4 linked regions of the Drosophila melanogaster genome follow. The protein of the gene in region 2 interacts with the protein of the main gene of each other region in a pairwise test. Each region holds a gene or a part of one and is shown on either strand. Other genes may lie near its edges. The genes, in order: CG32767, CG10321, Syn2 and CG3726.

What was found.
Region 1: the proteins of CG10321 (region 2) and CG32767 interact in a two-hybrid assay, tested with the Drosophila melanogaster proteins (one large-scale study listed by BioGRID).
Region 3: the proteins of CG10321 (region 2) and Syn2 interact in a two-hybrid assay, tested with the Drosophila melanogaster proteins (one large-scale study listed by BioGRID).
Region 4: the proteins of CG10321 (region 2) and CG3726 interact in a two-hybrid assay, tested with the Drosophila melanogaster proteins (one large-scale study listed by BioGRID).

What each region holds. Positions count from the first base shown.
Region 1 is NC_004354.4:5,079,769-5,084,846, forward strand, and holds the start of CG32767 (uncharacterized protein), read right to left. Parts: upstream 3,258-5,078; 5' UTR 2,649-3,257; intron 2,472-2,648; 5' UTR 1,718-2,471; intron 1,490-1,717; 5' UTR 1,413-1,489; intron 1,348-1,412; 5' UTR 1,306-1,347; coding exon 1-1,305.
Region 2 is NT_033778.4:21,632,655-21,638,920, reverse strand, and holds CG10321 (uncharacterized protein), read right to left. Parts: upstream 4,243-6,266; 5' UTR 3,940-4,242; intron 3,541-3,939; 5' UTR 3,518-3,540; coding exon 1,010-3,517; coding exon of another isoform or gene 950-1,009; 3' UTR 522-949; downstream 1-521. Other genes in the region: CG15674 (uncharacterized protein), read right to left, coding at 4,751-5,554, 5,612-5,956.
Region 3 is NT_033778.4:16,552,722-16,557,833, reverse strand, and holds Syn2 (Syntrophin-like 2), read right to left. Parts: upstream 3,248-5,112; 5' UTR 3,217-3,247; coding exon 3,142-3,216; intron 3,076-3,141; coding exon 2,926-3,075; intron 2,867-2,925; coding exon 2,581-2,866; intron 2,516-2,580; coding exon 2,351-2,515; intron 2,230-2,350; coding exon 2,045-2,229; intron 1,990-2,044; coding exon 1,831-1,989; intron 1,766-1,830; coding exon 1,541-1,765; intron 1,482-1,540; coding exon 1,278-1,481; intron 1,216-1,277; coding exon 1,105-1,215; 3' UTR 808-1,104; downstream 1-807.
Region 4 is NC_004354.4:5,915,067-5,920,138, reverse strand, and holds the start of CG3726 (uncharacterized protein), read right to left. Parts: upstream 3,043-5,072; 5' UTR 2,512-3,042; intron 1-2,511. Other genes in the region: Shmt (serine hydroxymethyl transferase), read left to right, coding at 3,670-3,876.

The sequences.
Region 1 (5,078 bases), on a different chromosome or scaffold from region 2:
CCTTTGTTGTTCCTGCTGCTGCTGCTGCTGCCTTTGTTGCTGCGCCTGCTGTTCCTGCTGCTGCCTTTGCTGCTCCAAGGCCAAGGCCAATTGCTGCTCAGCCGCTGCCGCTGCCGGCGTCTGTTGCTGTTGCGTCTGCAATATCAGCTGTGTGGCCGGCAACGCCTGTTGCACCACATTCAGCACCGTCATGGGACTCCGGCTGATCACAGCGGCCGCCGGCATTCTCACATAGGTTGCTCCGGCCGTTAGGCCGCCAACAGCATTGCTTATGTAGACAGGTCGTCGTTGCAGCTGCACAAGAGCCGCCTCGGTCACGGGCACCGACAATCGGTGGGTGGTTGTGCTCACAATACTACCGGCGGGCAGTTGTACCAATTGCTGTGATCCTCCGCCGGCTGTTGCGGCGCCACCAGCGGCACTACTCGTCGCTGCTCCAGCTGTTTGCGTTGCCGCACTAATTTGGTACTCCAGCTGGCCGTGCTGCAGCTCCTCGTCATCGTCCTCATCCTCTTCCTCCTCCTCGTCGGGCATTTCATCATCCTCTTCCAGCTCCAGCTTAACTTGCGTGGACAAATGCGCGGTGGTTTCGGGCTCCTCATCGGCCTCGGCTGCCTGAGCCTCCTCTTCGATATCCTGCAGATTCTCATCGTTCAGCTCGGGATCTTCCTCCTCCTCGTCCTCCTCCTTGATATCGCTGGCGGCTAAAACGGACGAGTTACCCGTGGCCTGGATTATGATGCGGCGTCCGTTTAGCAGATGATGTTGCTGCTGTTGCTGCTGCTGCTGAATGAGCAACTGTTGCTGGTTGTCCAAGTGATTGCTGTTGTTGCTATTGCTACTGCTGCTGTTGCTGCTAAAGGAAGCGCTGTTGTTGGTTGCTGCGGCTGCTGTTGCTGCAGTTGTTGCTGCTACTGCTACGGCAGCTGCGGCTGCTGCTGCGGTCGGTGGGTGGTTGTTGCTGCTGTTGTCCAGCTTCAGATGATGATGCGGATGATGGTGTTGCTGCTGCTGCTGTTGCTGCTGAAGATGCTGCTGCTGTTGCTGCTGATGCGAATGCGAGTGAGGATGATGCTGCGAGTGATGATGGTGATGCACATGCGTATGCTGGTGAGGATCGTCGTCCTGCTCCATGGGAGCATCCTGCAGTATAAATTCGATCTGTTGCGATAGGGCGCTATCGTTAATGGCCATTAATCCGTCCATATCTTTGACACCGGCAGCGGCGCCAACGGCGGGGAAGAGCGATGGCAGCGCCGTCGACGTCCCGCTGCCGCCGTCGACGTTCGTCGCGCTGCTGGCCATGGCAGCGATATACTAATTGATGTATATTTCCCTTATTTGTATCTGCAAATCGTACAAACATTTGGATTAGACTCACATTCGGCCATGGCTGGTGGGCAATAACTTACGTTCTTCTCTTGAGCTGTTGGGGATGCGACGCCTGTGTTTGGCGTAAACCTCCAGCTATGTTGAATATATTGTTAGCCTGAGAAATAGAACAATATTATGAACTCTGCCACAAAATCTAACAAACAAGTTAAGTCCATTCGAGTTTCTGATGTCTTAAAGTACGGGTTATTAAATAAAACTAGATGAAAGCGAAATGCTTTCAGTACTGAGAGGAACAACTATACAAAACTTTGGTGATTAAGTGATAATTTCATCGAAACGAACTAGTTTTTGTTTGGAAAAAGCAGGGCTTGTTGTTACTTACAATTTTTTGTTTGTTTCTTGTCGTTTTGGCTGCCAAAGTTTTCTTTTATGTTACTACTCCCTATTTAAAAATCTTGCCTTTGGGCGTCTGTTGTTTCCTCTTCTACAGAATTTTGTTTGTCGAAGCTGCCATAATTAATAATTGTTGTATATTTTTCAAGTTGCCGCTTCCTCTTCGCCTTCTTCTTCTTCTCATAGATTTGCTGATGGGCTTCTTCTTCTGCTTTAGTTATTACATCTGTTTCTTCCTCCGTTTATTCTGTTCTCTTTCGAATGCCGCTTCTTCCTTGACTCGTATTATTATTACTATTATTCTTCGATTATACGATTGGAAAACACACACACACGCACACACACACACGTTCTTGTATTTTTGTTGTATTTTGTTTTGTTTTTCGTTTGCTCAACGCCTCGCTGTCGGCCTTTCCTTTATGTTCACATTTGGTTTTTTGGGCTGCACAAAAATTTTCCATTTCCTTGTCATGCGGTTTTCTGTGCTTTCCATGCGGCGACGCTGGCGTCGACGTCGCTGCTGGCTGCGCTGCTCCTGGCTGTCGTTGTTGTTTTAGCTTTTGTTGTTTCCTTGCTTGCTTTCCACATTTTAGTTAAAAATGTTTCTGCGCTGTTTTTTGTTGTTTGCTTCACGCACGCACACACACACACAGAAGTCGTTACATTTGCTCCTTTCCTTTTTGTTATTATTATTATTATTGATCTGCTCTCCTCTTTCGCATTTTGTGCAATTTGATTACTAACTGTAAGTGAGATGTAGAAAAATCAGGTAAATTATACACGTTTTTGCTGCTGTTAACAATTAAATGCGTTTTACGAAATCCGATTTTCCACCCACACTCACACACACACACCAGTGCGCGCCTTGGAAATAAAAACAAAAAATTAATTTTAGCTTTTCCCCCCACTCTCTCTCTCACCATCTCTCACACACACACACATTCACAGGTTTTTCACTTTTGCTCCATTTTTCTTTCGGTTTTTTTTGGGGAAGTCTCTCCTCTCCCTTGCTCACACTTTTTGACCTTTTCGATTGTTCTTCTTTTGCCTTTTTCTTTTGCCACTGCTGTTCGTTCCTTTGGTTTTATGTTGCGTTTATTAACTTGCTAATTGTTTAGTTCGTTTTATTGAATTTGTTTGCGTTATTTTTTTGCCATTTCTTTTTCGGTTTCGTTTTTTTTTTTGCAAGGCAGCAACAACAACGAACGACGAGACAATTAGCGGCTGCGCTGCTTCTTCTTCTTCTGCTGCTGCTTGCTCTCCTACTCTGATTCCTATTCTTCTTCTTCTTCGTCCGTGTTTCCCAGCCGATTTTTGCTCCCCCGCGAGTAGTTTTTCTTTGGCTTTCCCCCGTTCGCCTTTTGTTGTTGCCGTTTTCCACACACCCGCTTTACTTTTCACATCCGCAAGCTCGTTTTTCCCTTTCGCGCTGTTCTTCCACACTGTTCAATAATAACAAAAAAATATTTGCTTGTGTGTGAATTTTTGCCTCCCTGGGTCTTACTACGCTCGTGTGTGTGAGTTAGTGTTGCGCAGGGTTGCATTCGGCGGTCAGTGTTGGTAAACGAACGGGCGATGGCGCGCAATTTCGTGCAATATTCAAAAAGTTAATTGGTTTTCGGTTGGCCCGCACACAAAACAACGTTACTTTTATTTCGTTTTTCTTTTTGGTTCTTGTCCTACTCCGTTTCGCCTTTTTTTTTGCCTTTCTTACCCTTTTTAAACACCCACACAACTTCGTTCTCACTCACAACACAAAACCAAAATATACAGCAGGGGTCAATGAAATAGTATTATCAGGTACATCTTACTCAACATCTATTAATTTTTCCTTAAACAGATTATTTTTAAATAAGAAATGAAAAACAACATTTAATTATTATTATTAATTTAATAGGGGCTTAGTACACGCATTTTAAGATCATACTACAAGCGAGCATCTACTTTCAAAAGAAGGCCGTCTTAACGAATTCCCTATTCTCTCGGCCACAACTGTTCCTAAAAGGACTGCCAGAACTTGGAGCCCAAAAAGGGAGCACAAAAAGAGGACGTTGTTGGGCGGGGGAGCAGGGGGAGAGCTGACCTAACAAGCGGAAATACATAGGCACAAAAGAAATACGCCAAAAGGCAGTCGGCGTGAGCGAGAAGGATGGAAAATGGTCGAATTGCGCGAGAGCGAAAGAGGGGACGCTAGCGCGTCATACGTTGCACAGTGGAGCGAAATAGGTGATAATAAAACAACAAACTCATTAATATTACATTTAAAACATTAATTTAGTGCCTATGAGTTCACTGGAGCGTGAAAATTCGAAATTTGTTAGAACACCTAGTCTGCGCGTCCCACTGTGCGATGGGGCCCGCAGCGGGGGGCGACAAAAGGCGTGAGAGGTGGAGAAGCCGTTTTATTTCGACAGTTTCTGAATTGTGCTCTCTCTCACTCACTCACTCTCCTTCTCCATCTTGCTTCTCCCTTTTTTCGAGTGCTGCTCCTGGAAAGATGAGGAGCAAGAGGAAGAAAACATCATCACCTTGGAAGAAAAAAATTTTCAGTGGGAAATAATTCGCTTCGTTTTTTTTTTGGTCTTTTCATTTGGTGGGTAGTGGGTGGTTTTATTGCTCAGTGATTTTTCGCCGGGCGGCGACGGGTGGTGAAGTTTTTGGGGGTTGAAAGCACACACACACACACTAACGCAAACATCAGCAAAATAAAGGGCTAACAAGGGTTAAAAAATATCCGCACAACAAAATAATAGCAGATAAAAAAAAACTAAATGAAATTCACACACAAAGGCAGCTGGAATCCTCTCCCCCACACAACCACACACGCACACTCAAAGAAAAGAGAACTAGTTCTTTTGTTTTTCTCTTTTCGTAACTAGTGGATAACTACTTCCATGCCATACATCCATATATATAAATTTACATATTTATTTAATTGTTTATATTTTTTAGCTGGCGCCGCTCTCTTGCCCTCTCTCCATCACACATTATTCGCACTTCACGCGCACGCACACACACACACTCGCACATGCTCGACACGCACACTCCTTTCGCTTTTCCATCGGTTTTTACTCACACTTAACATCACATTTTCGTTTGTTTGCGGGGTGTGTGCAATGCAGTTGGTTTAGTTTATCAGTGGTTTTAGTTTGTTATGTTTTTTACAGTTGCTTTAATTGCGTTTTATCGCCTTTTTGTTTTGTTTTTTATTTTTTATGAAAGGTTGGTAATGTGACCAAAGCCTGATGCTTAGAGATGGAATAACTAAAGCGATACTGGCAACAGTCACTATCGATACTTTGTAGGTACATCGATACATCGAAAGGAGGTGCAATTGCCAAATATTTAAA
Region 2 (6,266 bases):
TATCTTATCTTGCGAAACGCGGCTGACCGCCATATATAATCTGAACAAAACAAATAAACGCCTGGCGATTTTAGCTGTCACAATGTTATTCCAATTGATTATTTTCGCGGCTTATTTGCTAATTAATTAACAATTTCTTGTGACAGCCGGAGATTTCAGACTGCGATCAGATAACCGATTATTGGGGGGTCACTTTTTATGGATAATATAATATATATGTATGTACATGTACCTAAATCACACTAATAGGCATTTACAGATTTACATAAGCATCCATACGCGAATCGTAGTTATCCAGATACTTCCCATAACCGGATGAACGCGACACGTGGCAATTGGGAATCAATAGACAAGACCTTGGCTTGATTGTTGTTTTCTTTCGATCAATTTTGTTTGGGTTCTGTTTTTTCCCGGTCTTCTGTCAATGCAATTGAACAACAAGCCAACAAAGCCAGCGAATTGGATTACACGCTTAAAAATAAATATTACCGGCCAGATGGGACGTACAAGAAAGACAAATTATGGTTTCATAGAAGGTTTGTTAATTTATTTTGTTGTTCAGTTAAAACAAATTCACTTATTTCAAAGCCCAACAATGAAAACCCAACGCCAAAATACGTTTAGCCTAAAATGCCAGTCTGTATTCCCCGGGAAAACAAAATAATAATAGTAGGGTAATAAAATTAAAAACAAAAACTGGCACAGTCCACGCAGGATTTATGCCCCAAGCGTTTGGATGTGAGGATCCGCCTCGATCTGCCTACCTAAAGTTTCGTATCTGCTTACAAAATTCGAGTGAATCGCTTAGGTCCTACTAAACAAGTTCTACGACAGAAATCTAGGATTGCAATATTTGTGTAGTTGTGCTTATTCCTAAATTGTTATCTAGACGGGGGTAGTACAAAAATATATATATATATATGTATATATATTACATCTAAGTGGTCATCTAAATGCCGAGCAGGCACTCGCCGTTTCCAGGAGCGCCCGCTGCGGCAAACTCCGCTGGCTACGCCTGCGTCACGAAGTACACCTCGCCGGATGAGCCCATGACCACGGCGTGGGTATCGCCCGTGCCGCCGGCCAAAGTCGTACCCTGGCCGGTTGCCATCATGTTCGACATGTCGGTGGTGCCGTTGCTGACGATGCTTACCGCCCCGCTGAAAGCATCGTCCTGGCCACTGATCTGCACCTCTGCACTGTGATCCGTGCTCTCCACATGCAGCTGCAGTGAGTCCACGTTGTCGTACAAAGATCCGCACTCGCCGCACTTGAACAGCGGATCCACAACCTCCGGATGCTTGCGTTCTACGTGCCACTTGAGGTTCACCGCGGACGAGAAGTTCTTTCGGCAGTTGGCCACGCCGCAGCAATACGCTCTCTGCTGGTGCGTCTGTCTGTGCCTGTACAAGATCGCCTTGGACTTGAAGGTTCGATTGCAAATGGTGCACATCGGTGTGCTGGATTCAGCGTCGTGCGTCTTCATGTGCATCCGCAGCATTCCTGGGCCCTTAAAGCTCTTTAGGCAGATCTGGCACTGCGGCTGTTTCTTGCAATTGGCCCGTATCCAGTTGGTGTGGGAGTGCATGTGGTTCTGCAGGCCCTTGAACTGCCGGAACTCGGTGCTGCACAGGTGACAAATGTATCTCCCAGATCCCAGAGGCGAGGTGTGCTGTCGTATGAACTCAGTTACCAGATTAGCATCTATTTCGTAGTTGTCGTCCGCACCGGCGGCTGCAATCACGCTGGCCGTCTGCACCAACTGGCGAGAGTTGGCTGCGGCCAGCTTGCTGCTGGTCGTTGATCCAGCGGCAGGTGGTTGGTGGTCGCAGGGTTCCAGAGTCACACCGGCTGGAATTTGGTGGTTACTTCGCTTGGCTCGCTTTGGCGTCGGACTGGCCGAGCTGACGGTCATAGTGGGACCCACCAGGGCTTCCGTTGTAGTTGTGGCCTGGCTGAACTCTACAACAGCGTTCTCCAGTGATATGCTCTGCATCTCTTCTTGGTGCTGCTGATGATGCGACTGCTCAGAATCCATGAATGCCTGGTCAATGTCCACACTTGTCTCGCCATCCGGCGGCTCCATAATGGAATACTCCAGATCGTCGTCTACGTCGCCGGACAAATGCGGATCCTGTTCCTCACCGATGTACTCACAATCCTGGTCGATTTCCTCCCCATCCGGATCATCGAGCATCTCGTCATCCTCCAGCTGAATCTCCTCGATTATGAACGTATCCTGGTCCTCTTCGGGCTTCATTTGCTCCTCCTCGTCTTCTATCTCGTCCATTGCTTGCTGTTGGTCCAAATCGTCGAAGTACTCATGGTCTTGGCTTTCACTCTGCGTGAGATCCTCGTTGATCATTACTTGGTGGTGCTCGTGGTGGTCCTTTAGGAAGTCCTGCTGCTGATCGTCGTCCAGTACAATAGTCTCAAAGCTGTGATCTGCCTTGCTATCCAGTTGCTCGTACACATCTTCCAGTTCCTCGTCTTCCACCTCACAGCCGTCCTCCAGCAACTGCACGTCGGCATCACCGAGAGAAGCGCCTACATGCTGACCCATATCCGTGGCGTTGGTAGTTGTGGTCACTGTCGTGACTCCGGTCGGAGCCAAACTGCGTTGCGGCACAAGTTGAACCAGCTGCAGGGTCTGCGTGCCATTGGGCTGCTGAACAATCTGCAACGTCTGTCCGTTCGGCGTCTGTAGAAGCTGTGGCAGGAATTGCGATTGCGCAGCGGTGGCCTGACCATTAGTCGTTGACTGCGGCGCTGTGCTGATGATCTGCGCCAACTGCGGCGCTACAATCTGAGCAGTCGTTATCAATTGGCCGTTGGGCAACAGGATCTGCTGCGGCATAGTCGTGGTGGCACCGGCAGCGGACAGTAGCTGGGCGGGAGCAGGCTGAAGTGTGGGCATATGAATCTGCTGGATCTGCTGCTGCATAGTGGGCTGTTGCGGCGCATGTTCCTGCATTAATTGCATCTGTGGCTGAGGGGCGGGCTGCGGGACTGACTGTGGTGCTGGTGCGGCCTCCAAATGCCTCTGCTTCTGCTGGCGGGAGCCCTTGCGGAGCAGCGGCTTCAGTTTTGGTTTGGCAGGAGGCTGATGCTGTTGCTGCTGGACTATCTGCTGCTGGAGTTGCTCCTCGAGGATTTTCTGTTGCTTCTGCAGCTGTCGCTGTTGCTTCCGCTCCAGCTGAAGCTGCTGCTTAGCGTTTGCCGCCTCCTGCTGCTGCTGCTCCTCCATTACCAGTGCCACGGTAAGACCGCGGATATACTCGCGCAGCTCCTTGTCGCTGCGCTCGACGAGCGTCTTGAAGGCGTGATTCCGGCTTACGGCGTGGACGCACTGCACGCAGATCTTGTCCGGCCAGCCCTCCGTGGGCTCCACCCGCACGCTGGTACAGTCCATCAGCATTTCGGGCACCTTTTCGCTGAACAGCGGGCGCATCTCCTTGCGCTCCGAGATGCACAGGCGGCAGATCTTGTCAAGCTCCAGGACCTTCTTGCGATCCATCACTTCGTGTTCCTAGGGGGAGGCTGCAATGGGCCAGTTTTTTTTAATTTAAAATAACCATTAGAATGAGCGGATCCCCGAAAGGTGCATGAGTACGAGGTTTGTTATGATTTGCCCGCCAAAAAATGGTCAATTAAAATTCAGAATAATTTCATCTGTTGTAAAATGACCTGCTAACCCGCTGTTAATAACAGGGACTGTCGACACGTCTGGTAGCTCTTGTGCCAGACAGAGACAGCCATATTGTTATACACAATTTACCATCTTGGTGTTGGTGTGAGCGAAAAATGCGATTTTTAGGCCCAAAAAACGAAACAAATACATAATTCCCGACTTGAATTGGGTAAATATTGTTTTCGATTCACTTGCACCCGCACTTAGAGCACCTTTCGACCGGGTTCCCGCAACAAAAATGAACTCACCTGCGCTGTATTTATGTAATTTTCGCAGCTCGCCCCACATTCAACACAAAAAACTCTTTAAATATGGCCGCGTCACACAAATCGCATTCGGAACTCACATATTTGTGGTTCAGGGCGAAACACACACGTTCCCAGAGATGCGAACTTCAAAACCAAAACAAGTGCACACCAGTGGGTCTTTCGGGACCCTGATCGAATGAAATCACTAGCTATCTCTGGCGACGTTATCAATAAGGTTCTTCCATGAGATGAATGAATTGATGAACTGAACTTCTGCCTCTATCTGTCTTTCTCTGTGTGCGAGTGTGAGTGAGATGATAGGCGTGTTGTGAATGGCGCTGCCAACGTGGTATAAAGACAGAAATCCCTAACGCATGCCGGTCGGAAATCATTTTGTTTATTTCCTCAGATTTCTAGATTTCTTTTTAATACTTAAAACTTCTTATGTTTAAGGCATGAAATTCCATTGAAACTTACCTTTTCTCTATTTACAACTTAGGTTTTTGATGTGGGTCCTTCAGCTCACAAGTCTCTTTAATTTCTCGATTTTAGAGCCATTCCTTGCCGTTCATACCAGGGGATTTCTTTACATATTCAATGAAACACACAACAGTTTTTTGACTCACATTAACATTTTCAAGCCGAAATTTTTAATAAATCTAACCCAAAAAACGAACACACAAATTTTAATTCGAGGACATAGCAATTGAGCTGCCAACTCGTTTTTTAAACTGACATTTCGAACTGAAAACACCTGTTGATCCTGGTGTTATTTTCTGATTTAGAAAACTTAACTTAATGTCCATAATTTTTAGGCGGGTGGAGGCACATTCGTGTTGGCCACTTCGTACATGTGGCGCTTCTTGGTTCTCCTGTTGTGAGCGCTTACTACAATGTATATGCCCAGGATAATAGCGAGGGCCAAAAGCAGACAAGTAATCACAAACCAGCAGTAGAATCCTGGACCTTCCTCATCGTAATCCTCTTCCTGTGCGTTCTCCCACTCGGTATAGTTGCCCGATGGATCCTCCCTTATCTGGCCAACCTTCGGCTCTCGGAAAAGCGAGGCCTTGGCCAGGTTGCTAGACTCCGGAGCCATGAAAACCGGCTCCGTATAATCTATTCGGATGAAGGTGAGCCGGGCCCCGGTCAGAGTTTCCTTATAGCGTCTCAGCCCATGGCCATAGTACTCGTATATGTCGGCGTCGAACTCCCGATGCTGGTCTACCCATTGACCAATCACCTGCACCTTCACCTCGCTCCTGGGGTCCATGCTTCGTCCGAAATAGGCTTTTTCCGCAACATCCAGGCCACCCATACCATACAAGTCCAACTCGAGAACAGAGGACCGGTGCTCGAAGAGCAGAGGCAGCCTGGATAGCTTCCTATGCTGGTACACACTGGACATGTTCACAAGGATCTTCTCCACAAAATCGTAGTTCAGGCTACCGTAAATGGGCTTACGTTCGCCACTGGGATTTCGGAGCACACTGTCACCCAGGTGCATCTTGTAGCTGTTAGTCACATTGCGCCACGGCAGGTAAGTAATGTTCCTCAGCTGGTATGCCAAAGGTTCCAGTTCCACCAGTACGTTAATGTTATCCTCAAGACCATACTATAAAGATAACATATTTGTAGGACATCAACCGAACCATCTTCCCGAGGAACTTACAAAGTTATCGCCAAAAATCATGACCACACAGGTGAACAGATTGTCGGACACCGCATTGACAAGATCCGTGTGTCGGAAGTGACAGAGCTCTGTCTTCTCCCGCTCCACGTTCGTGGCCTTGGCAATGTATGTCAGTCGCTCCTTGGGATTCAGCTCGGCCGCATAGTTCTTGAGCACGGTGTGGTAGGGAATCCAGGCCAGGACCGAATCACCTCCGTTGGCGCACACCTCCGTCTGAACTCCCCTTCCAGTCAGTTCTCCGTTGCGCAGCCTAAAAAAGTGATGGTTATCTCGCCTGATTGTGGTGGAGCCATGATCTGCGCACAGGGTGTCCACGAGGTTTGCCTGGAAAATGAAGAGATAAAAGTAAAAGACTGAAACAAACACCTTGTTCGTATATAACCACCGTCTTCGGCTTATCTCAGGTCCGCCGGCATTATCTTCTTCAGCTGCGATGGACACTTTGTCACTTTATCGTCAAGCTAATTCAATTTGGAATATCAGCCACTCGAATAATTTATTGGCTGGCATTGGATTTGTCACTTAAGGATGTCGATGGGGCAAACTAGTTTGGCGACGCACCATTTGCCATTAAAGGTAGGGAGTTTTTCAAATTGAGGCCATTTTTAACAAATATGGAATCGTGCAATCTGCC
Region 3 (5,112 bases), 5.1 Mb from region 2:
TCATATTTTTAGTGATATTCTGCTTATGCTGTTTGGGATTTTGCAATTTGCGTATGCACCAACTTGATATTTTTGTGTAGATATATGATCTTTTGTGCTCGTCGATGATTCGCTAACTAATTCGATAATATGTAGTTGTATGTTGTGCAATAACGCCTAAAATCAATACGTACAATGCAATATGCTAGCAACAAATACGATCTTGCCACCGAAAGACACATTCTGAATTGACAAATGACCTAAGTGAGTGTCTGATGAAATCACTTAACTGGCTCTGAGTAAATGTATAACAGTTATAAAATCTAGTTCATGTTACGTCTGTGCATTGAGATTTGTTCGGTGGATGTTATATATATATATATTATTTTATAAGGTATTTTTATATATATCTATTATGACATCAGCTATTACTTCAGTAGAAAATAACAATTAATCCGATCTTAAAGCATTCGTTTTTCGAAAATTAAATTTTCATTAGAGCGCACACAAAACACGGTTTTTATATTTCAATCAATTTTCGTTAAACCGCCGAAGAAATATATGTCTAGAGGATACAGCACGGGTTAAAGCCTTTAAGGCCACTCATTATAATCTTTTCGGCTAATAGCAAAAAGCGATTAGATTTCTCTGACATTCAGAATCGGCAGACCTATGTGGTTTTAACAATCCGTAAGTTAGGTAGGTAGGGTTAAGGGTTAATTTAACTTTAAAGGCTACATTCGGAAACGATCGATTATAAACAATATAAATTTGTTGTCAATTTGTAAGTACCAAGTCTACGTAATAGGAAAAATGCCTAAAGTAATTGCCTTATGTATGCTTAAAATTTACTATAATGCACCAAGAGATTTCACTTTCAGTTTTATCAGCGCTATAAATATACCCATATCAGTATCCAATTACAATTACAATCATTCAGATATCAACATACATATGTATATGCGCGTACTCGTTTATAATAACTCCAAGCGGACAATCATGTATGCGATACCTATAGTCCAACATTCATATTCGAATTATTTGCTATGCACTTTACGAATATTCATTATATATCATTTTGAGTGTGAGTCCATGCGAATTCTTGTCCCTCATAATATTTTTGATTTAAGTCTGCTGGATTGAGCTCAAAAATGCTGGATCCACCGATGCCACCTTGGCCGTAAGAAACGCGTGCATGCAGAACAGCAGACTTTGCAGGACTTGGCATTCCAGCTCCTGCAGGATATTAAACTTTTTATATATTATGAAATTATGGTATACTTGTATCTTTAGCTTACCTTGGTTTCTATTGCACGGCTATCGTGATCCTGGAAATGCAACTTCAGCTTCGATTTACCATCATCACTGGAGCCCCTCAGCTGGGAGAATTTATACTGCCAAACTGTGGCGGATTCGGCTCCTTCGGTTAATGAAAAACCAGCTTGCCAGTCCAGCGTGAGTCCACCACTTTTTCCATGATGCGACACGGCAAAGGTCTTACGCTGAGGAAAATTAACATATAATTAGAGAGTGAAGGTATGCGATATAAGTGTAAACCTACGCCCAGTTTGATGACACTTGTCACAATGGCCGCATTCCAGCTGTTTTCGATTCTCAAAAGCTCCTGACGGGTTTCCACGCTCAAATAGCGCGGTTCATGACCCGAACTTTGCAGCAGGAAACAATGCTGACGACTATCCACGGTCTCCGATTCCTTGACAATGCGGAACATGGTCTGGTAGACCTTGTAGACCACCAAAGCCTTACTAATGCCAGCCACATTTAGCTAATAATTTAATAGAAAAAATTAGTTAAGATAATCGAAACTTATCGCAATTGATTGCTACTCACTGGTGGCGTTTCAAAGAGCATCACTTCAGTGCCTTTGAGCAGTAGAAACCTGGGCTTGTAGCTCTGCCACGATATATTGTTGTTAATGACACCTTCATTCACCCAGCCCATGTACTCAATGCGCTCGCCCACAGCAAAGTTTCTATTATATAGCTTCATCTATTGGATACACAATTGATTAAATTATGAATATATATGCCTTTAACTCTCCTACCTGTAAATGCGTCAGGCCCACAACATTGTCTGTTATCAATTTCAGCCACTGACTAAGTATGGCCAGTTCGTCACAGTGTATGACACCTGTGGAAATTCCATTCAGACCGCGAACTTCGAAGGCATTTTGTCGCAGCTTGTCGGTGCCATAGATGTACCTCGTCACATATGCCATCATTAGAGGTACTGCAAGGTGTAAATATATGAATTGATTAGCATTTCTGTACGTAAGATTTGAGATACATTTCTGTTATCTTAGGACATAATCAATGAACAATTTGTTAACCTATTTATAAATAAGGCTCACCGGCAACCACGTCGGTCCAGCGCTTCTCGGGCTCCGAGCAAATTGACATGGGGCGACTACAACTGCGACTGATGGTTCCACTATTGACGGATGACTTGTAGCCCTCGTCAGCCTTCAGTTCGGCACATGTGACATCGTTGTCCGAGTCGGGTGTGTCCTTGGTCACTGGGATGTTGAGGAGGGTTATTCAATCCTTATTTATCGTGCTATGCTAGCCCACTGCTACTCACGTTGTTTCTGAAGGAAAGGCGTGGCTGCGCGATAATGCTTAACAGTGAGCACAACAATATCGCCAGCGTTTCTCAATATATTGACGGCATCATCGTGAGGACATGCCGTGATGTATTCTCCGTTGACCTTGATGATGGCATCGCCAACAAATAGTTGGCCCGTTATGTCCGCAGCCTGATCCTTATAGATACGCGATATCAAAATGGGTAGTTTATGCTCGGCGCCACCTTTTATGCTCAGTCCTAGGCCGCCTTGTTTTTGGCGCGTAATTTGAACCATACGTTCCTGAAAGATGAATTATTTCATAAATAAGTTAAATGTTATAGGGGAAAATATATATATACCTTTGATTCCATGGGTGGTCCATTGGGGTGACAACTACTTGGTGTTACCACTTCCAGCTTCTGCAGCGAAAGCAACTCCATGGTAAGATTAAGTCGAAGCGGTTCTGGTCTGCTCTTGCCATCGCTCACGTGCACCATTCCAGTTCGCACCTAAAATATTAATAATTTAATATTTAATAGATATACATTTATAAATATGAAGAATCTTTGCGTTACCTTCAGGTTTTGGTCGAGTTTTTCTTCTATAGGCGTGGCCATGGTGTCAGAGAGCTTCATAATTCCTGAAATCATTCAGAGAAGAGGGATCTTGAGTGTGATTTATGATCTTAAATGGGAAACGTGCTTAAAGTGATAGGATTTAAAAATGAATTATGAACCAAAATAAAATAAAAATCCAGGAACTCTAGAGATTTCTAGAGATTAGTTTGCTATAATAATAACAAAATGTATCTTCAAGATATCTTGACTATACTTAAAGCTCAATCAATATTTCTAGAGGCGTTAAATTAAATGCGTTGATTGATTGAATGGAATGAATAATTTAGAGCAAAGGGTCTGAAAAGGTTGAAATGTTGCCTGATTTGTGGCAATAACGGGATGTCTACCCTTGTTACCAAATCGGATGGCCGCCAATCAAGTTGGCCCAGTGTAATCAAGCGATTTCTGAGAACTTTTCGTTTTTTTTTTTTTATTTTTAAACATAATCGTGGCCATGGCAATGGACTGCGAAACAACTGCAATCAAATCGGGAAGCCGGCTCCGTGGCCTTTATCGATTGCCATTTTATTTTTCCACTGAGCAGACAGCAGTAAGGCGAAAGCAACGCAATTGCAATCATCGCATATCGAATTACGTTTGCACACTGGCCCACCGATGAGCCGATAGTTCAAGGTGAACTGTGCAATTGCCTTAATTAAATTACACATGCAATTAGAAACAATTAAGCGTAATCAGGCTGCCGCAAAATGTAATAGAAGGCATATCTAGATGGAAACGATACATGGGCATACCTTGGCCAAGTGCGTTTTCTACGAACTGATGCCACGGCATATGTTTTCCATTAAAGTGGAAAATAAATATGCTACCGGAAAACTAGATATGAGTGAAAACACATTGAAGTGTGCCCCATCTGCAGACGTTGTTTGTGGTTTTCCCTGGTGCTGAGTGCCGAAGTGTGGCCGCAACTGCTCCTCAGGAATGGGAGGGTGGAATATGTATTTTGGATAACCACTTGTGCTCCATAAATAGGTGTTTTGCCTAGGGGGGGTTGAGAGTTCTTGAAGGGGGGGGGGGGAGGGTTCGATTTGAGCGCCAAATATGTGCATATGGTGCCAGCTAAATTGCCATCTGAGATTGAGAAATTCTGAATTCGAGGGGAAACACTTTCGCTTTAAACGTTTTCTGCGATCTGATTCATGGTCAAAGTGAATTCAATTGTTATTATTGTTAATTAAAAAAATTATTATATATTTTTAATGAAATTATGAAAGGAATAAAATCATAATAAAATGTTTAGGCCTAAGCTTACGTGTCATCAACAATGAGTTTTTGAAAATATAATAAAAATAAATATATAAAAACGGAATTATTTTACTGAAGCAACATAAAATAATTATAATTAAGGTAAATTATACATTCCAAAATCTATACAAAAATAGATCTATCAACCCAGAATGTTCTATATTGCCTGCAAGAGTTTCGCAGAGTGCAAAAAGTGTCGAATATTTGGACCATGAATTCCTGAATCCTTGGCATTCCGCGTGTCGTAGCAATTAGCTGCTGGTCAGGCCACCGACTTGGCGGAACACGCATACGCTCCGTTGTCCCGGGTTACCTTTGATTATGGCTTTATTATTACGTGTGCACGCTGCGCTGCCCTTTTGGGTGCGTGCTTCAGAGCCGTAAAACCGTGAAGCTAGGCCCAGAGTACTCTGGTTTTTTTTTCGGTGGGGAGGTGTCCAGGAGTGCAGGTCCTTAGCTTCAAACCAAACAAGCCAACATGTTCGGCGTGAGGCCTTGGACAATCAGCTGTGCCACAGCCACGAAAAGAGCAGCAGAAGCAGCAGCAGGCGAAACGTTTCGGGCTGTTTTGCCTGAAGTTTCAGCGATTGAACTTTTCTTTTTTTTTTTGCAGCTCTGGCTGTGAAGTAAAACAAACACACGCACACCCTCGCATAACCGATACTT
Region 4 (5,072 bases), on a different chromosome or scaffold from region 2:
TATACACATATGTGTGTATATTTATGGCTTCTTTTCTTTTTATTTTTTGTTATATTTTTCCGATTTGCCGTCTGCAGTGCAGTTTTTTATTGTTTGTTTTTAATTATAAATATGAGCTGATATCAGAGAATGAGGGAAAAAAAAAGTGGGGAGCTCAATGAAAAAGAAATGGTTGCAAAATCAAACCCTTTTTCGGCGAAATTGAAATTGAAAACGCTGTGAATAGATTTAAGGAACTTTGTCGGCATTTGACAAACATTATTTACGCATTGCAAATTATAGTTATCATTTTTCATATATAGTGCGCAAAACATAAACAACCCCAAAATTTACGTAAGCGAATTTTATTTGCCAACTACCAAAATGAAAATAAATAAACACATAGAGTAAACTAAACTTAAAGCTGGTATGACAAAAAATGACAACAACAAAATAATCACACACGAAAAACAATATTTCGTGTCAAAATTTGTGTCGTTTTTTGCTTTATTTCCTACTGCCGCATTGTTTTTCTAAAGAATTTTTATTTGGTTGCGGAATAACACGAAAATAAGTGTGATTTTGTTATAAATACTTCACGGCTTTATTTCGACTCGACTGTGGGAATACCCAAAAGTTTTTTACATGATATATCATATATTACGAATAATTTATGATAATGAAATCTAGATGCAAAGCTTTCAAATCTCGAAGCCCAGGTAAATATGCATTTATTCGAAATCGATTTGAAAATGTTTTATATTTCGAATTTGGTTTTGTTGGAATATCAATCGTTGTAGTTTTAGACTAATTTTAGGCTTTATTTAAGCGTTTCTCCCACATTTATAAATTAATTAATTATGTCCATAGGTATGTATATGAACATATATGCATATATGTATGTATATATTCCAAATTTGGGGGCGTGGCACGTCGGATGCTGACCTGCCCTTGTTTTTTTGCCTTTGGCTTGCTTGTTTGTTATCGCTTTTGTTCTGATTTGTTTTTGGACAATGAACTTGAAATTTGGAGCACGCGTTTCACATGTAATTGAAATGTGTGTGAGTGGGGCGAAGGCGGGTGGTGGGGGGTCGATGAAGATGGGGAGCAGAGAGCAGCGAACGAGAGAGAGAGCACTCACGCACACCAACACTAGCGCACAGAAGCCAGGGCCGGATCAGGGGGTAAATATTCGAGTTAAGTGCCATTAAATATCTTAAATGTTTTACGTAATTTTGTTGCTCAATAACCTATATATTTTGTTAACTTCATGTTCTTCTTGCAAATCGGTAGCTTGGTTCAAAAATTTCCAGATTCGCTCCTGATACGCTCTCTTCCTCTCTCTCTCTCTCGCTCTCTGCCCCCCCTCCACACAATCTTCCACACACTGATTCGCTGTTTTATTTTTTTTTGCGCAGGCGAATGCCGCTGTGAAAACAAAAAACCGAATAAAACAGCCGACAAAAACAAAAGGAAGGAGAAACGTTGACGGCGACGTCACTCAAATGCGATTTGCAATTTTAATTTTTGCCGTTCATGTTTTGCAGTTTTTGTTCATATAATTAAAGTTGTAAAAATGAATTGCCATACAGCAAAAAAACGAGAGAAAAGTAAATTGCAAATTGTAAATTGCTTTTGCCATAAAGGCGGAAATGCCTCTCTCAACAACAAAAAAACTCGCATTCAAATAGTGCAACAAAAAACTAAAAACAAATAAGCCGAAATCGACAACAAAAAATAAGGCTAAACAGGTGAAGAAGAAAACTAAAAGCCACAGAAATAACAAAAACCGATAAACCAAAATTTAAAACCAGCACAAAAAATAGCCCCAAAACTTAAGATATACAATTGTGTTCGAAATCGTAGTAAAGCTATTTGAAGCGCCACAAAAATTTACATTTTTTGTAAACATTTTTAAGCATCGACTATTATTTTGGGTACAACTGTAGCAGATAAACAACAGCCCGCAAAAAACCCTAATTATCAAGCTTAGACAAAAACTACAAAAAAAGCGAAAAAATCACACAAAAAATGTAAATTACTGGCCTATGAATTTAATTAATTTTTTGCAACTCTGTAGGTTTTTTCCCCTCTTTTTTCATTTTTATCTTGGCGATTAGTTGGCAGCAACAATTACAATAAGCGAAGAAAAAGCGCCAATCGTTTCCTGAGCGAAAAACAATTGTTTACAATAATTGCATGCGATTATTATTTATGTCAATTTCGAATATTCAGCTGGCAAAGTCAACAAACCCGGAAACCTTCGGCGAGAACAACGGAATTTTTATCGTAATATTTTGTTCGCCTTTTTGCATTCAACAAAAAAGAGCACGCACAAAACAAAACATGCAAAAAAAAAAAGAAGCACAAAATATATGATTGAAAAACAAAAACGATAAAAAACAAGGGGAGAGCGGCGAACAAAAACAGAAAATCGCACAAATAACACACAACTTTTGTTTGGCTAAAAATAAAACGACGTTCGTTTTGCGTGTCTTTTTAGCACATGAAATAAATAATTTGTTTTCTCACCTTTTCTTTATGACTTTTCGCGCTATCTTTTCTTTTGGCGTTTTTTTCCCCCCTCGAATTTCTTTTACTTTTCCTTTATGCTTTTTGTTTTGTTATTCGAATCGAATTGCACACGCAGCAGAATTGTGTCGAAAAAAATTCATTCATTCATTTAATTTCTGGCTTGCCATTTTTGTTTCATTTCTATATTTTGTTTTTTAACATAAAAAAAAATAATGCGAAACAGCGAATTCAAAACGCGCGCTTTTTCTTTTGCCTTGCGAGCGGATAACGGTAAATGCGCACAGCAATGTTTTAACATTAAACACTAACCACTAAATTGTCAGGAAATTCACCAAAAATAAATGTTCTGTTTTGGAATTGTTAAGAATGTTAGGCTCATGTGTTTGTTAATATTTTCCAGGAATTTTCTTTTAGCGGCGCAGCGAAGTGAAACGTACCGCGGAGGAGACGGATTTTTGAGTGAAAAGAATTGAACTTTCGTTGTTGCTTATATAGACTTTGGCTGGCAGCAATGTTGCTGGAGAGAGATGTTGCACTCTCCCAATCGGTTGGCAACTTAAACCGGTTCGCAGTACCAGCAATTTGGCGGGTACTTTAAATGCCTTAACGTTATCGCGCGTTTGATAACTACGTACATTTTAAGGGATTGAGAGAAACGCATATTATGATATAAAATAAAGTGTTAATATTAATTGAAGAGGCACACACGCTTAACATTTCCACAAATTGTAAATATTTATACAAGAATTGGTAGCTATCGCTAGCGTTGCCAGACGGCGCCAAAAGCTTCTAAATCCAGCGATCCAACTACCCAAACAGCTGATATCTGTTAGCCTGGTAAATGTTGTTTACCAACGTAACGCGTGTTTTCGCTTCGTTGTATTTTCGGTGTCGAATATTTTGGATGCTGGCCAAGAGATAGCGCAGCGATCGGGTCGGAACTCTTGGGCGGACTTATCACTGGGTCGGTCAGGGGTCACGGGTTATCGTTATCGCTTATCAGCCAGCGGCGGCGTCATCTCAGCGCCGGCGACTCTTCTCACTTTGCGGCAGTTCCGATTCGAACGCAGCCGTGTGAGTACTAATAATTACCAAGGATTGTTGAAAAACATCCACTAAAATCTATAAAATTCTGCTTATTACAGTTACAAAGACATGCAGCGGGCGCGCTCTACACTGACACAAAAGCTTCGGTTTTGCCTTAGTCGGGACCTGAACACCAAAGTTGGCAACCCGGTTAACTTCGAGACTGGAAAGCTTAGCGGAGCTTTAACTCGCATCGCCGCCAAAAAACAACCATCACCAACGCCATTCTTACCGGCGATCAGACGATATTCGGACTCCAAGCAGAGCACTTTGAAGGTGAGTTCGCCGGGAAAGTCCCAGGCAAAGTGAAGGGGAGGGTGGAAAAAGTGTGGCTAATTGAACCATTTGGGGGACTCGCATTTCGATTGCCTTTAATTCTTGCAGTGATCGCGGTGCTCAGAAAGTTTGTGTTTCGCTTCCATTTGCGGCTCCTGGCATGCCCGGCTAATCGCCATGTGCTTCATGCGTTTCATTCAGCCATGTGTTCCCACACTGCACTATCCCTACGTGGATGGCATGCCATCGATCCGCTGAAAGTGTTGTTTATAGTAGTATCATTGTTAAGTACCTATGTACATGTGTAGTTTAATTGAGATCTTATAGCATATGTACATATATGTACCGTATTTGTATCAGTGTACTGTTAGTGTATTCAAAACGTCGCCATGCGCCAAGTTTGAATCTTTTTGATTCACATTCGCTACCTCGGCCTGAAACTCGTTTTTGGGCCTACTCGAATTTCTCGGCTGTTTGCGCCCTATCGAGCATTGTTGTTGTCATTCTCGTTTGCACTTGTCTAAATATTTAAACTGATAACGCAAAAAAAAAAAAGAATCTGGCATTGGCCATTAAATCGAATTTCCCATTCGTGTGGGCAGATTTGTATATAAATATACATACATACATATGTATATGCATTTTGCACTCAACTTGTGGCCAGAAATTAGCATTCAATTTAGTGGGAATCACCAGTTTCCAGTTTTTGCAGCTAAAATTTTGCGTGTCCAATTCATTTCTGCGTTGAAAATAGAAGAATCTTCCAGGGATTATTAGTTAGCAGCTGGAAACGTTGAACAACAAAATGGTACTAGAGATACGTAATTTGCTGGAGGAAGCTACATACATATAAACTTGTCCATTTTCTGCCAATATTCTCCATTTCGACTATATACGTACGTTTCCCGATCTTTCCGAAGTGCGTCAGCTGCAAAGGGGGGGCAGTGTCCTTATCGTCGTCCGGCGACTTGAACTGGTGACCCAGACGGATGATAATCACTTGACGATAAGCGGATCGCAAATAGACGCGCTCTCCCATCCATGGGGGGTCGCATTTTCGATCATGGGCGTGTTATTGCACCCAAGTCACTTGGTTTCCCTGGTATTTGGCCAATCTAATCGTGGATCGGGAATAGGGAATCGGGGGAGCGCCTCTCGAGTGGTTGCCATGGTGCATCCAGGCGTAATCTTCGCCT